Linked DNA regions of Oreochromis niloticus. The protein of the gene in region 2 interacts with the protein of the main gene of each other region in a biochemical or structural test. Links are inferred from orthologs where the notes say so. Each region holds a gene or a part of one and is shown on either strand. Other genes may lie near its edges.

What was found.
Region 1: the proteins of drd2a (region 2) and neuronal calcium sensor 1 form a complex in vitro, tested with the Homo sapiens proteins (2 studies listed by BioGRID, with this or other methods). The link is inferred for Oreochromis niloticus from reciprocal best matches to the Homo sapiens genes DRD2 and NCS1.

The regions. Positions count from the first base shown.
Region 1 is NC_031977.2:11,092,996-11,101,257, reverse strand, and holds the start of neuronal calcium sensor 1, read right to left. Parts: upstream 3,257-8,262; 5' UTR 3,104-3,256; intron 3,016-3,103; exon of another isoform or gene 2,893-3,015; intron 2,443-2,892; 5' UTR 2,322-2,442; exon of another isoform or gene 2,315-2,321; intron 1,294-2,314; 5' UTR 1,215-1,293; coding exon 1,151-1,214; intron 1-1,150. UniProt on the Homo sapiens protein: Neuronal calcium sensor, regulator of G protein-coupled receptor phosphorylation in a calcium dependent manner. Directly regulates GRK1 (RHOK), but not GRK2 to GRK5. Can substitute for calmodulin. Stimulates PI4KB kinase activity.
Region 2 is NC_031979.2:20,914,757-20,922,312, reverse strand, and holds the start of drd2a (dopamine receptor D2a), read right to left. Parts: upstream 3,058-7,556; 5' UTR 2,553-3,057; intron 1-2,552. UniProt on the Homo sapiens protein: Dopamine receptor whose activity is mediated by G proteins which inhibit adenylyl cyclase. Positively regulates postnatal regression of retinal hyaloid vessels via suppression of VEGFR2/KDR activity, downstream of OPN5.

The DNA.
Region 1 (8,262 bases), on a different chromosome or scaffold from region 2:
GCGGTTAGGGGGAAAAGCAAAAGAGACAGGGTGAAAGGTTAAGAGAGAATGAGAAAGCCAGTCAGAGAGGGGGAGAGAGCGAGAGAGAGAAAGGGACAGCAGCAAGCAGTCCAGCCCAGCATGAAGTCTAATCTTCCTCCACAGCAATTTCCTGCTACAACAGCCTTCCTTGGTTCTGCTGTGGAGAGACCCACCACACAAATAACACTGTCATTAAGCAGCCAGGGGATGTCAACTCCCACCCACACCTGCACACCACGGTGCTCAAATAATAATAATAATAATAATAATAATAGCAATGCTGTGCTCCAAAAATAACACACAAGTGGTTAATATAGTGGATACCAAGCAGACATTGCTGGTGGTAATTAGAAATGTGATCCAAAGTGATAGCTGAGCAGACATTGGTAAGCAACGGCTGGTAAGATGGTAGAAATACAGTCAATTTGCACCCTAATGCATCAACGGGAACAACGATAGAAGATATAATTACAAAGTCACACCTTCGCTACAGTTTTTGATTGGAGGGTCAGTCCCCTTTCTGTGAGCCCACCCCATCCATCGATCTTGATGCAGGAATGCAATTTATAAGTGTAGCAGCACAAGCACGGCGTGAATTGATTTACCCTTTGTATGTTTAAATTTATCAATGTCTGTCACATTAGAAGTAGAAAATACAGCATGTTTACAAGCGCAACACATAAAACCACACGCTCATCTGTAAAGAAAAGCTATCATTACAGCTGCCGCAAACTCTACTATGTCCTCAGCGTAACTTAAAGACGCCGGTTGCAACTTTTTACTCAGCCTTAGCTTAGTAATGTCTGCGATACATTCAAAAATCTGAAATTTGAAACAAATGAGGAGATCGTTCGCAACTGACATCTGCTCTGTCAGTGGTGAAAAATGTATAGCATCCCAAAGCATCCCAGCAGGCAGCGTTATTTACTGTTAAGCCTGTGTGGTGCACAGTGGGTGGAAAATGAGATTAGCAAACCGCAGCAATAAACTCTGTATTATGTATTCCTATTGCAAGCTGTATGTTCTTTAACCTCAGGCCAACAGGCTATGACAAGCTCACAGAAAAAGTTTCTGCAAAGTTTTTCTTTGTAAGAACAAGCAAAAAACAAACACACTTTCAGTTACTCACAGTAGGTTTTCCTTGTCAACTCCTCTACCACCTCTGGCTTGAGCTTGCTGTTGGATTTACCCATGATCTTCAGCTCTCTTCGACGCCTCCAAATCCACGCTGGCACGTATCACCTGTTACTACGTCCTCGCCAGTCTGCTCCTCTGCCAAAACACGCAAGAGAAGTGGGGCCAGTTTAGGTGCGAAGACACGGGTGAGATAGGAGAAAGACACTTTTATTTGAGTTTGCTTTGACAGAAAAAGAAATAAAACACTCCCATTCACGCTAATCGTTCTGTGTATATCACTCTAGCTGTGGTCATGATCTGCTCAGCCATCAGCACTCCACACAGACGAGTCAAACCCCAGGGGACCACGTGAAGAGGACCCAGCAGGTTGTTGAGTCTATACGAGCGCTGCGGAGCGCCTATGTGTCCGCCTCATTTCTTCACAGCAGCCCGTGGGCGAAGAGTGGCGTTTGGACACGTTGCTACCTTCGTCCTTGGATACAAGAGTCACTCAGTGGCTGGGTTAAGCACGCTCGCTCCCTCACAGTCATTCTCTGTTCTTCTCACTCCTCCCACCCCTCCTTTCCCACCACTATCTCTATTGCTCAGGGTAAGTTACTGTAGAAAAAGAGTCCTCCCTCTTGACAGCTGAGATAAGGAGGTGTGTAAACTAAAATACAATGAACAGAGCTCGACTTGGATGCCCCCCGCTGCACTTTGCGCTCGCTCTAAAACGTTAGCTCTAATCCTTGGAATTTACACAGACACCACAGTGTAAAGAAACAGTTTTAAAAGGCTTCAGTAATAATTTCTAGGGAAAAAAAAAAAGAAGATACCAGAAAGACGCCAAGTCTGTTCACGGTTCTACAGCTCTGATGCCAACTGAACAGCACAAAAGAGATCCGGTGCTGCTCTTAAAATAAGCATGTGAGCTGTCTACCAAGTTTAGATGTGTATTTGAAGAGTGACAGTTTTCTTTTTTTTTCTCCTCCATTCTGACTCATAATTCTCCCTCCTTTTCTGGCCTCATGACAACACGGCATGGTGATTTCTTCCTCTCTGTCACAGAGATGGGGATAATGGAATTTCTTTGTACCGTGGGCCGGGCGTTGGCATGCACTGACGGTTAACCACAGCAGCTGTCTGAGCCACAGAATTAGAAGACTACTGTACGCACTATGCACCTTCACTGCAAACATCTGTACTCTGCGTCCACGGCCAGCGATGTCTTTGCGAGGGATGCCACGCTGGTAATCACCATTTTGCGTTTGCTCAAGCCTTCTGGTCCTGGATATTACACAGACACTATGAAAATAAACAAACAGACAGCAGTTACAAAGGGAATGACAGGCATGTGCTGTGTTTCATGAGAAATGGACTGGACTGTCACCTAGAGCCACAGACACATGGGCACTTGACTGGAAAAACACTCAAAACAAGACGACCTTTCTAGTGTCTGCCTAAGCTGCTGAGTGTAGCCAGCAGGCATCAGACAATATGCAGCTAGAAGAGTGCTGTCAATTTAACTGTAGAGGCTGCTATTAAAGTATTCTGCGTTAAATCAGCACAGCCTAAACGAGCAGAAAATGAAGTCACGTTGTTAAATGACTGATTCAAACAGCTGGCTAAGACAAAACAGCACAACTAAAATACATACAATCTCAACAAACGTATAGCCTGGTTAAAACCCTCGAAAAGCGCTTTGTTTTTATTAATTTCAACGTGTTTTGATTGACAGCAGCGAGAAATACATACAGTCGCGGCAGCAGCAGGTGGGATGTTGCCTGGCAGTACCATAGCAACCCTCAGTTTATGGCTACAGTGCGGGAAGCTAGTCATTGTACTCGAAACGTTTGGTACCCATGCTGTTCCGTGTAGCTAGTTGACAAGGAAAAAAAAAAACAGAAAACACACCTTTAAATGAATAAAGAAAAAAACGTTCCCATATAAAGCGGCTTCTGGTTACCTTAGCCACAAAAGCGGAAAGTCGCGGTGAAAAGAAATAATTTGCCCCACAGCAGAAAGCCGCTGTCCGACGCCGTCTTCCTTCGCCGAGTTCCGGAGCGAGCGACTCGCTGCTGCGCGGATGGCCGTCCGTGCTGCTCTGATGCCGCCGTCAGGGAGTGACGTTGCTGCCTCTGCTGCATGGCCCCGACCAACTCAGCTCAGTGCCAGAGACACTGACGTCGCGGTACCACTGGACACACACTGACTCTTTGTGTGCTTTGAGAGCCTTTACACGTGTCACCGGGCACATAGCGAGAGGTTAACTTTTCGACTCATATTCACATTATATGTAACGTTGTTTACAGGTCAGTCTGCCTGCCCAGTTTTACACACAAAAAAAGAAAGAAAGAAAAGGTCGAAAGTGGTGGCGGGGTGTCTTGTTTTTCTTTATAACACTCAAATTAGCCACTTACCCTTTTTTAATGCCTAATCACTGCACTGGATTCAAAGTTAGTGTTTGTAACTTGTGAAATCTGAGTTTGTTGTTCAAACGGACAAAAATTAATTGTGGCAAAGGGTTGTATTAAAAAGGAATAAGTTACATTTTTAACATAAATATCAAAGTTCCTTAAGTAAAGGGGCTAAAACGATTCGGAATAATCTAACTTTTAGTCCTTCGTCGGGGTCAGTCAAGGTTGAGCAACACTACAATTCCCACAATGCCATTGGCAGTCCTGCGTTTGAGGTAAAATTCCAAATTTACATGATATCTGATTTACAGCGTTTGGCCCAAGTAACTACCGTTAATAATACCGGTTTGTATAAAGATCACTTTTTTAGTGTGAAGTAAAGAAAAGTTTATTTATTCATTCATTTATTTATTTATTTATTTATTGCTATGTTTAAAAATAGCTACAAAGTAATCCACTTCCATATCTGCACTTGTTTAAACTTTTCAGTATTCTCACACCAAACTAAATAACACAGAAATGATTAGCATTTGTTAATGGCGTTTCTCATGATCACATCATACATATTCAATGACTCATTTAAAAAAAAAAAACACCTAAAATCAATGGCATTTTAAATGCAAGCTATTTTCAATCATTTCAAATGTCAGCAGCAGAGCAGCCCATACTCAAAAAAAGATCACCTGCCTCTTTTGCTCTCTCTGTTCTCTCTCTTTCCTCCATTAACAGTGAATTGTCAAACTTAATGTTAATGGTTGATAACACGGCAGGTAGCCAAGTTACACACTGAAATAGTTTTTGTGTTTCGTGATATGTTTGGTTTAGTTTTTTTAAAGCTTGGTTACAAAACGAAAACATCAAGTCATGTTTGGAGAGACTGATCTGCTAGCTTGTTAAAAAGCCCATCTACAGTCTCAAAGCCTCCCTAGGGCAGCAAGCCGTTCAAACAATGGGGTGTGAATAAATGATGTGTGTAAGTGGGTCGTTACATTTTCAGCAAAAGGCTGCTGAATCACTGCTGAGTATGAACTTTAACACTCACAGGCCTTTGGTCAAAATTAAAATAACTTCACCAGAGGGCTTCAGCATAATGACAACACGAGTTAAAGCGTGACCACCATGGAAACGTGAGAGGGATTATTCTGAGGTCCCCCTGTTGGTGAAGCGGCTACTGATGCCATAGTCTGCTGCTTGATAGGTATGCAGGTGCACACATTCTCTAAACATAACACCATACATGCTATTACATATATGGTTTTAAGTTATGTTCTTGAGAAGACAAATGTGTGTGCTCACTGCTTTTCACTTGCTTTCTCATCAGGACCCAGACTATCCAATAAATGTTCAGTGAATCCAAGTATTCTTATATTTATCCATCCATGCATCTTCTCTCGCTTACCCAATTCAAGGTTGCAGTGGAGCCTTTCCCAGTGAGAAGTGGAGTACACACTGTACTGATGCAGACCGGTATTGTTATTTATTCCTTTCATATCTTAACTGTGAAATGTGTTAAGGGCCACTTGCAGAACATTATTTAACCTTTGCCAGGTTCTACAGGGCTTTGTAATGAGTTTCACATAAGCAGACACACACATACACACACTCGGCCGTGGAGCTGGAATGCAAGGAGCTTGTCTGACATCGGGAGCAAGTTAGTTCAGTGTCCTCCCCAAAAACACTACTAGTGTGGAGGGCTCAGGCATCAGAAGTTTATCAAAGCTTATACATAGCTGAATACATGTATATCACTTATGAGTGAGTTATTTTTAGTAACATAAAATGTTGACAGTCTGAGTCAACCATGGTTAAAAAAAATATTGTGGTCACTGCGAAGAAAAATACTGTTACTACTGAAAATAGGGTTCGTAAGGTACTATATTAACTTCGTAAGGTAGGGTCAAGTTTTTGACCTTCACAGAGAAAGTCTGGGTTCAAATTACAGTGAATTATGCTTAATAAGGCTTGCTAAAAATACAAATTTCAGGTAAAAAAGGAAAACGTGACTGCAGACAACTTTCTCCAACACATGTATCTCCCACAGAGAGGCTCGCCCGACTTGTCTGCTTTTCTCCGCAGCACAGTTTTGAAGCTGAATACAGACTGGGATGTTTTTTATTGCACATCTTCATATCTGACTGTGCACACACAAGCTCTAATGACAGATTTGCAGGTCTTGTACACGTCCACAAAAATTAAGAGACATTTACAAATTTGACTAGAGAGAGATTGGGAGACATCTGTGCACAGGTTTCCAAATAAAGGTGGTAGAGTAAAAGCCTCATTATTCATCAGTTATTTAGGGAGTAAAGTTTGTTAGCCTTGAGGGTAGGGATGTGCATGATTTTCTAATATTAGTCACTGAGCTACAAAAAAAGAAAAGGTTATCTTTTTTGGGGGGGGGTTATAATATGATGGATGGTCTTGGAAGAATGCCCATCCCTTCTCTGCAACCACGCTTATATGGTGGTGCAGTTGCTGCTGGTGTCAACATAGACTGTATTTAAAAAGTGGGCTTGGTTTCCGGGTCTGAAAAATGACACGTAAAAAGTGAAAGGGGGGTGGGGGGGTCGTTTTGTTACCAAAACAAGAAAGATTTCAGTAATCTCTGTGGGAAATACAAACCTTCAGTTGCTTGATCTATGAGCCCAGCGAATACTTTCCTAATGAGTTTTATGGTCTCAGTGGCTAGTTTATTAAACACAGCATGATGTTCATTCTAGAAATGATGCTCCCTGTTAAAACACAGCAATAAAGCAGCATTTGCCTTGGGGCAGGTCTACCTTGTGATTGGTAATTTCTTATCCCACGAGTGGGCCTGTTTTTGGCCACACCCAACTACGACTGGTTTCAAAATGCTAAGATGTTATCTATCACCTCAGCCCTTGGGATGAAACTTTACTAACCAATGGGTGAATTCTCAGTGGTTGCATACATCTCTTATGTACAGTCTGTGTGTGCAACTCATTTATGTTATTAAAACAAACTGCACAATCCACCCCATTTTTTAAAGATTGTTCCTTCTTTTCCCAAAATTCATGAAACTATCTTCTGTTGAATTACATGCATAATCTAACCAAAAGACAAACAAGCCACAGTAGAAGGTCTGTGGCAGAAGTAAATAAAACTGAAAGCTTGAGAGTGGGATTGTAAATTGAGACACCATACCAGCAAACTTCAGGTAAGGTGTATCCAAACATAGGCTACTATAATTACTGATCTGGAGATTGCAGGGCCCTGCTGGGAAAGAGAACAAGATGGGAATAAGGGAAAATGATTTCAGATACATTACTTGCTAAAAGATGGGGAAAGGAATTTTAATTGGTCTGAAGAAAAAAGATTAATGCGCTGCAGTTTTCATTTATTGATTTTTATACTGAAGGACGCGAGGACGAGTCATGTAACCAGAAGGCTCATTTGTATTTTTGCTCCCGATTCCTCTTACTCATGCTCGAGTCCAAACTTTGCAGTCAGACATCTCCATGCGTAGCTTATTAAAATTCAACTCCCCCGAGCGTCGTGTAAACAGATGTTCAGCTATTGGATTTGTTCATTAACAACTGCCACGCCATCATTCTATAGCCCGATAGGAGCTTTCTGTTAATTCATGGGAGGGTTGGATCAAAATGTAGGCTGTCTGACTTGGCCATCTTAGTATTCAGTATCCTTCCCTGCAGTTCCTTATTGCAGTCAACTGCAGTTACAGTAGCCCCGTAGGAATAGAGAGAACAAGGCTGAGAAATAGAGAAAGAGGCCATGGCAAAAATGGGGCAAATTGCTCTAAGATTTTTTTGATCTTTCTGGATCATTTAGAACTTTAGAAGCCTTGTTGAGTTTACTAAACTAAAGTCTGCATCTTGTATCAAGTTCAGTCTAAATGCTGTCTTATGTTTGTCTAATTTTAGATCACTATGTTGAAGTTAACTTCAGTAGGTATTGCAGCAGGTAATAAGGTAAGGTTTGCATTGTCTGGATCTGTTTGGAAGGCAATTGCATTACCATTGCACCACCCAGCTGTATGCTTATACATACAGTATCTGCTTTGTGATATCACAGACTTTTAAACTAGTGTTTTTGCTGCTGCTGTCAGTTTTGTATGATCATTCTGTTTTTTGTGCATATCTGTGATGCCACACATTTTAGGTCATAAAAAAGTCTTGGCGTAGAAAACTCGACTACCAGAGTGAGACATGAAAATTCTGCTCCTGTAGTCATTTACCTTCCAAACAGGACAACATAACAGAATAATGCATTCATCAAACACCGCTTCACTTCACATCACGCCATTATTGAAACACATATTACAAAAGCACCTCCCCTGAAAATGATTGTTCATAATCACTTGCAGATTATAGCCGTTTATCAGAAACCACACACCACGATCATTAAGGCATCACCATCAGCAGCACAGTGGCATCATTAAATGCCGGCGCAACATCGGCATCCCTGTGATATGCTGACATATGCTAAAACAGCTGGGGGGCTCCTGGAAGAAATGCCACGGCCAGGAAAATGACTGCACATTTCGAGTTTCAGCACCCTCCGTACTGCCTTGCAAATGCTGGAAAGCTATCATATCAGGGCTGACAGTATAGCATCAACGCAACATTTGTCTTAATTAGCAGATGGAACACTAAAAGGGAGGAGAAACTCCACCAGCAGGAGGAAATATTCTTAGGTTTACAGATTTTCCAGAGAGAGAGAGAGAGAG
Region 2 (7,556 bases):
GCGAGTTGGATAAAGTCTCAGAGATCCAATACAATTAAGTAATTTACTTACAGGGATGTTTGTGGCTCATGACCATGATATAAAATCTGTGAGACATACAAGAAGAACCCTGTAGCTGAGTTAGAGCTTGTGGATGTGTGCCCCAGGGTGGCTGTGGCTACAATGTAGCTTGCCATCACCAGTGTGTGAATGTGTGTGTGAATGGGTGGATGACTGGGTGTGTAAAGCGCTTTGGGGTCCTTAGGGACTAGTAAAGCACTATACAAATACAGGCCATTTACCATGGTGGTTAGTAAGCTCTATGTTCCGCTGAAAATCTAAACTATTTATATTTCATCTTTGGTTGCTTAGATGTCAGATGGCACCACAAGCAAAGGTCAGGTGTGCTGTTCTTTGAGGCCCAACTGAGTATCATCAAGTGCTTCATGACATTCTGGGTCTGAGCTGCATCTTCTATACACAATGATTAAAAAGTGTTTATAGATCTTGGCATATATGTGGTTTAATTTCTGCACCTATACATTTATGAAGTTGCACTTTGCAAGATGCATGAAGTCAAGTAAGACTTGATTAGTAAAAAAAAAATACACCACTTTTTAAAGTGTATTCCTTTCTGAAATGGCAAGCCAAGCGGCTTCATTCAGCCATATAATGTACAGGTAATACTATACACCATGAAATTAAATGTTCCTCCAGACCATGGCAAGGCTTAAACCATACAAGACTGCAAACAGAATTACAGAAGGTGCACAGCATTATACAAATATAGATATATATATACAGTATAAATATATACAGACAACAAAATTAAATTTGAATTCCTTACAGTTTCTTCTTTTGCAAAACAAAACAACTGCACCACCCCAGTCCGACGTAAGATTTCTCCTGTGAATGACTTTCAAATCTGTCTGATTAATAAAACACGCTGTGGTTTCACAGCAGCAGCTCCCTGCACCCAAACAACTTTTGTTTGGGTTTGTAATTGGATTTAACAAGCACAAGCTGCGACACAGTGTTGTTTCTGTTGACTGCATGTCATTTGAGAGCAATGCATTGAATCTGAGCATTTTATCGATCGACCGGCCGAATCAAGTGATTTCCCTTTAGATCTTTATGCGCTTAATCCATTCAAAGTCTGTGCACCACCTTAACGTAAATGTTGCCATGAAATCAAATCTCTCACAATGCATCTTATGGAATCTTATGGAATCTGAACCATTGTTAATGTTTTTTCCCTAGTATTAATTCAAATAATCCGTGTAGGGATTAATTTGTGTATACAGACATTTGACTCGAAGCATCCAGGAGATTTGTTTCAGAAAATCTGCTTGTGGCCAAACAGCTAGGCTTGACAAACCTGCATCAGGCAGCTCCGGTCAGACTGTTTTCCACACAAAACGGTCCAGCAGATCAGACACAGGAATGTATAGAATTCAAAATGTGTCAAGGGAATTCAATAACCAGGCTCAGCCTCTATCCATTTAACCTAAGATGGTTTCACTAAGGATTACTGGTTTGGTTTCTATTTTAAAGAAGATTTAAGTAGTTAATTCTAGTCAAGTGGAGTTGACATGAGCAATTTTCCTTGACAAATAAAGCCTGACAGTGTCCCTTTTGATGAAACCACCAATTTGCCAACCAGGTGTTATAACCACCTGACCTATTCAGATATCCATACCTGCTGGGTACAGAGCAGCTGCTGACCAAATGTCAAAGCAGGTTTTTGTTGTTATGGTGGCTTATTAATATTTTCCAGAAGGCAGTCACACTTTTCTTTCCTTTCTTTCTCCCCTTTTAGCACTGACTCAATCAAAAGTGACAAGTCTTAAATCAAAATCACCACAATCATTAGCATTATTCAGTTATTTGTTATGCTGTTTATGTGTTATTTAGAATATGGCAGTGACTCGGAACATGCATATAATATACACATTTGTTTTTTTTTAATATTCACATAGATCATAAATGGGTAACAAACTCCATCAAACGCGCTTTCGAGGCACGCAGGCTTATCAGGAGAGGTTTAGATAAATTTTCCACTTCATTTATTTCCCCTGTTGTTGGTAACTTGTTAAAGCTGCTTAGCGATGCTGATACAGGACGGAGTGTGCAGCGTGTACAGCAGTCACCTGCGCAGCACGAAGCTTGTGCCTCTGAAAACCCAGCACTAATTACAAATTAGAAAGCACGAACAGATCTGAAATCAGCGCTTCGCGGGTTGGGAAGGGCACCATGACACAGACACATCGCCACTCTCAAGTCTGAAACTAGGGTATAACTCACTTATAGCCCCCCAGCCCCCCACTCTTTCTTGGGGTGGTTAAAAATGTCTTATATTAACGCCCAGCCCAGGATCGATAAGGTAAACAGTAGACCTGTCATACAAATAAATCCTCCCCACAATGCACAGCCGCTTGCGCTACCTGCAGTGTTAGTTAATGTATGTATGCATCTTTGAGCGACATGTCATAGATTATAAGCTATACCCTGGATTATCTTATTTTTCTTAAGTTTAATACATCACACAGAGAAAACAGTAAGAACTGTCTTACCTTCACGCCATAAGTTTCTGAATCTTTGTTTTCACGGGAAGCGGCTGTTAAATCCAAGATCATCCACAGTTAGCTCCCACTGTATCCTTTATTTGCTTTACTCATTGCTTACTCTTTAAAGAAAGAACAGTCTCTGCGCGTCGTCTCTGGTGCGAGGCATTAGTTCAAGCTGGTAGGTAAAAAATAAACGCACTACTGGGAGCCAAAATACATAGCCTAACAGTGAAAGAATGATTTAAAACGACACCTAAGATCACTTGCTGTTTTCCGGTCGTTTAATTAAAGCCTCGAGGTTTGATTTTTTTTTTTTAATTTTTTTTAAATCAGTTCTGATCTTGAGAGAGCGGAGAAGCAGAAGCGGAAACTGAGCGGTGCCCTTCTGGTGTCCAGGAGCTTTACGCAGAGAGCTAAGAGTTACCTTCTGCACTGACGGAGACGGGAGACGCGGCGGCTGTGAAGAACTGTGGAAAATCAAGGCGGGGTTACATCTGTTTAATTCCTAAGAGGGATGCATGTTTTTTTTTTTTAATGTCACCGGTGTAAGTGAAACCCTATTCCCTTATGTTTGCCTCCGATTTTCCACAGTTCAGTCTTCTCTCCGTGGCACGGTTTGCGCTTTTTGTGTAATAAGTAAATAATGGAAAATGACAGTGTGGGATTTAAAACATTTTTGGACATCTTTTGATCACTAAAGAAACAGTTGGTTAATAAGTGGGCACATGCTCTGTTAGGATGTGAGTTGGTGGATCAGCAAAAGCCGTGAAAAATGGTAATGAAAGAAATAAGCGAACACATGGACTTACAAATCCATCCCACGCATTCCTCATTGTCATTTTCTTAGATAATGATCTTTTATATTTATATATGTATTTTTTTTTCATCTATTGCCAAACCTTGTCATTATTGTTAATTGCTGGCATTTCTTAGGACTCTGTTGGCTTTCATCCCAGCAATTTTACACAGTGAATGCTACCAAGCCAAGTAAAAGGACAGGAAGCAAACCGTTTTGTTTGTCCTTGGGACAAGTAATAAGGAAAGAATGTACAATTTCATATTACACCACTGAGATTTATTTGTACCTGCTGGTTCCATTCAATACAAATGACACAAACCACCTTCCTGAGTGTGTGCATGTATAGGGAAGTCCAAACCAGAAATGTAAATGTTACATCAGGATCAATTTTTGACTCTTTGTAAGTGGCATTGGACCGTCGCTCTCTTTTAATGACTGAGTGTGAGTGTTAGACAGAACCTCCTGGAAAGAAACATAGTTGTTGATAATCCATTGATGATCCATTTATCCATTATTTTACAACTAGAAATGCAATGTTTTGGCACTTTAGGAAGTACATGAATAGTTATATTAAGTGCAGTCCTGCCCAACTGCAGCACTTAAAATCTAGCTTTTATATCATCTTGCTCTCTACCCTTTACACATGTGACTTAAATAAGAACTTCCATTTAAGTAAGACCTGGATAATATATTCATATCTAATTTGACATTGAAATAAAATATTAATTACAGCCTGTAGGCACAGAAATACATTAAAAAAGGAAGAGGTAGAATAAGTCCAACAGTATGTTATACTTGGTGGCAGACGAATCACCTACAGTTTTTAAATATGTTTTTCTAAATGAATTCCTCATCATGCATACTTTGACTTGGAATTTCTCACGTGCAGTTTTCCTAAGTGCACTTCTTCACTATTAACACTATTTGAATGCACAAATGTTATGTTTAATGAAGCTTGCCTCATTTTTTTAAAGGGTGACATTTCTTTGCATTGATTAGCAAACCTGACATTTTTCAAATATAATTCAAGTGCAATAAGAAGATAAATTTAATGTTTAACATCAAGCTTTATGACTGCTTTCACATGGTTCCAAAAGTAATCATTTTGCATGTGTGTGCATATTTTTTTCATTCAAGAGAAAAGGAAATGGCAACCCACTACCAGATAGATGTTTTCCCTTTGCTGCAAATGTAATTAAAACACAGATAATGTTTTGGTTGTATTGCTTCTGTGGGCAGTTCAGCTGAGGGAAAAGTTTGGAGACATCATCTACATACTCAGTTATAAGAAATAAGTAACTGAAGTGTGACTAAAACATGGCAACACGGCTGAGAGAACACAGACAAAGCAAAAAAAAGCTAGATTACAACACCCCAAATCTTCACAGCGGATGAAATGTCACATATTAGTGACACAACCAGAGCATTAAAATTCTCCTCTGTTGGAGGCAGCCCTCACAAGAAGCAGCTTTTCTTTTTTTTTGCTTTTGCACTCTTGTGGGGACGTCTGTACTGAGGCAGATAGCCAGTTTTGACTTTATGTCTGAATCACACATAAACACAGACACAAACAGGCACATAAATTCATACTGCACACACACAAATATGCACACTCCCCAGGCTATCTGTGGGAGGCGCAAACACATCTAACTGCTAACTGCCATAAGGTAACGCTGGAGCCTGATGGTAACTGATACGGCCTCTATTAATTTGTGACGATGAGTGGATGTCAGCAGATCGCAAAATAAATGACAACAACTTTGACGCCCCCCAAATAAGATTAATTTACAAACCAGTTTCACCCACATGTCACGCTAATGAACATCTCACAACCCACAAAAAGATTCCTTCCAGACAAGAGAACCACAAAGCATAGTCTTGATGTCATGGCGCTAAGTTCTCGTCTCCAACTGGCACGCATTTTCAGCCTTGAATGGAGCTTGGAGAAATATTGTACATTCTAGACACATGCACGCCTTTCTAAGCCTCGCCAAGCACAGAGCCACCACCAGTGAGCAGATGCTGGCTTTAGGTGAGCTGTGGAAAAAAACACATTGACCTGGCATGAAGGAGGGCCCTACTGTGACAGAAAAGACGTTCAGTCCCTATTTAACTCACATGAGCACAAAAAGCATGCACATATTTCCCATTCACTAGTCCTTAAAATGAATCATATTTTACACACCAGCAGTCAATGCTTTAAACTTGAACTCATCCTATAAAGAATTTATATGGTGTGACACTGGTGTGACATTGTGTGCTTGTTTCTGAGCTCTTTCCCTGGTTTAACACTTGCACTATACCCTGTCACACTGTATGCTGAGCGAAACAGAGTGACAAAGAGGGAGACAGTGTTGGCATGACTATCTGTTTGGGAGATAATAGTGACAGCAGTTGCTCTGCAGAAAGGACTTAAGGCATGATGAGGAAGCATGAGATTAGAGATATCCAGATATAGGAGACGTGCTCGCAGCAGTAGGGTTGAGGCATGTAAATTACAGAAGTTAATATTCTGTTTTCAACATATCCCACAGTATGACTGAAAGCAATAATACCTTCATGCAATCCACTGTTGGCCAGACATGACTGAAAAACACAAACCTTGGATTTGCATTGTGTATTTCTTTATGATGATAAAGACCGATAATGCAATTATGTTCATTAACAAGCACATCAAATATGCATTAACTTGCAGCTGTAATGAATCCAAAACATAGACATTGCCAATTCCGTCTAGGTAACCTTTGCTCAGCAGATTCAAGTTGTTGACGATTTAATCTTTTTAGTCATGCAAGTAGTCTACCACCAGAAATGAGGATGTTACACGTTGCACATCTTTGCCCCAAACTAAAATGTATAACAACAAGCATCACTTAAGGATGACTTCTTTTGATGATCACTTCACCTTCAGTCTTGCAACATGTCAAAATGTGAAATTCATAAGCTCTGATTTTTTTGTTTTAGACCCTAACAGTGTTGTAGAAAAGTCTCAGGCGCCCCTCACGTGGGTGTGCAAAACATGTGGAAACATAAATGGAAACACATATAATTTTAACTAGCTTGGAAGTCGGCGTGATCCCACACTGCTTCAGTAATGTTGAGGTCCAAGCTCTGGGGAGGCCAATCCATGAGTGATGATGTTCCACTGTGTGTTTTCTTATCCAGGTATAGTGCATGACTGTGTGTTTGTGGTTATTCTCATGCTGAAAAATGAAGCTGTTGCCAGTGTAATGCTTTCCAGATGGTATTGCATGGTGGATCAAAATCTGATGCTCATAATTCCATCTGTTTTGACAAGATCCACAGCATCACTGGTGGAAATGCAGCCCCAAACCATGACAGAGCCTTCACCATGTTTTACAGATGGCTGCAGACACTTTGTACCTCTCTCCTGACCTCATTCATATCACTCTATAGGACCACTGATTCTCGGTCCAGTTCTTGTTTTATCTGGCATAACTCAACTTCTTTCTCCTGGTTTATTGACAGCAAGCTTTCCAATTAGATCATTTCTGGTGATCTTCAGTGAACAGTAAGATGAATCGTCTCCTGTTTCTCAAGGGCATGACTTTCAGATGCTATTCATCTGTTGTAGACATCTTTTTTAGGCCTGGCTATTTATCTTTTGTCCTCCCACTTGTCCAGTTTCTTTAAAAATTTTAAGTACACTCTTCACAAGAAACTGAGTTATGCAAAGTTTTTCTTGGCTTTGAAAACCACAATGCTACCATGTTATCTTTGGCATTTTTTATGAATGCAGCTAAAGAAATTGTGTGTTTTTGTCACAGGCTGCTGGTAATAAAGTCCCTAATGATACAATGTAAAACTAATACTTTGCTTAATCGGACAAAACCAGTTCATTCCTGGAGATGGGTGTTCTTTTCATGCGTGAATGATTTATAGGTCAGTGGTGGTTTAATAAAACATTCCTGTGAAAATGGTCAGGTACAAAACTGAAAGGTGGCTCCATAATGTAGCTTAATGCATTCACCTAACAAATGAAGGGTTGCTGGTTCAACTCCAGCTGAAGGCACAAATCCCATTTGGGGTACTTTACCAAGTACATACATGTGGTGCTACCTGCTCCAGCAACCGCTTGGGAGCAAAGTAGCTTTAAAGGCACTAGACTGAAAGTGAGTGTGAAAGCAGCCAGTGTGATAACATGCTAAGTTGTACATATACATTTTACTTTCAGAAGCTTCATGGGCAGT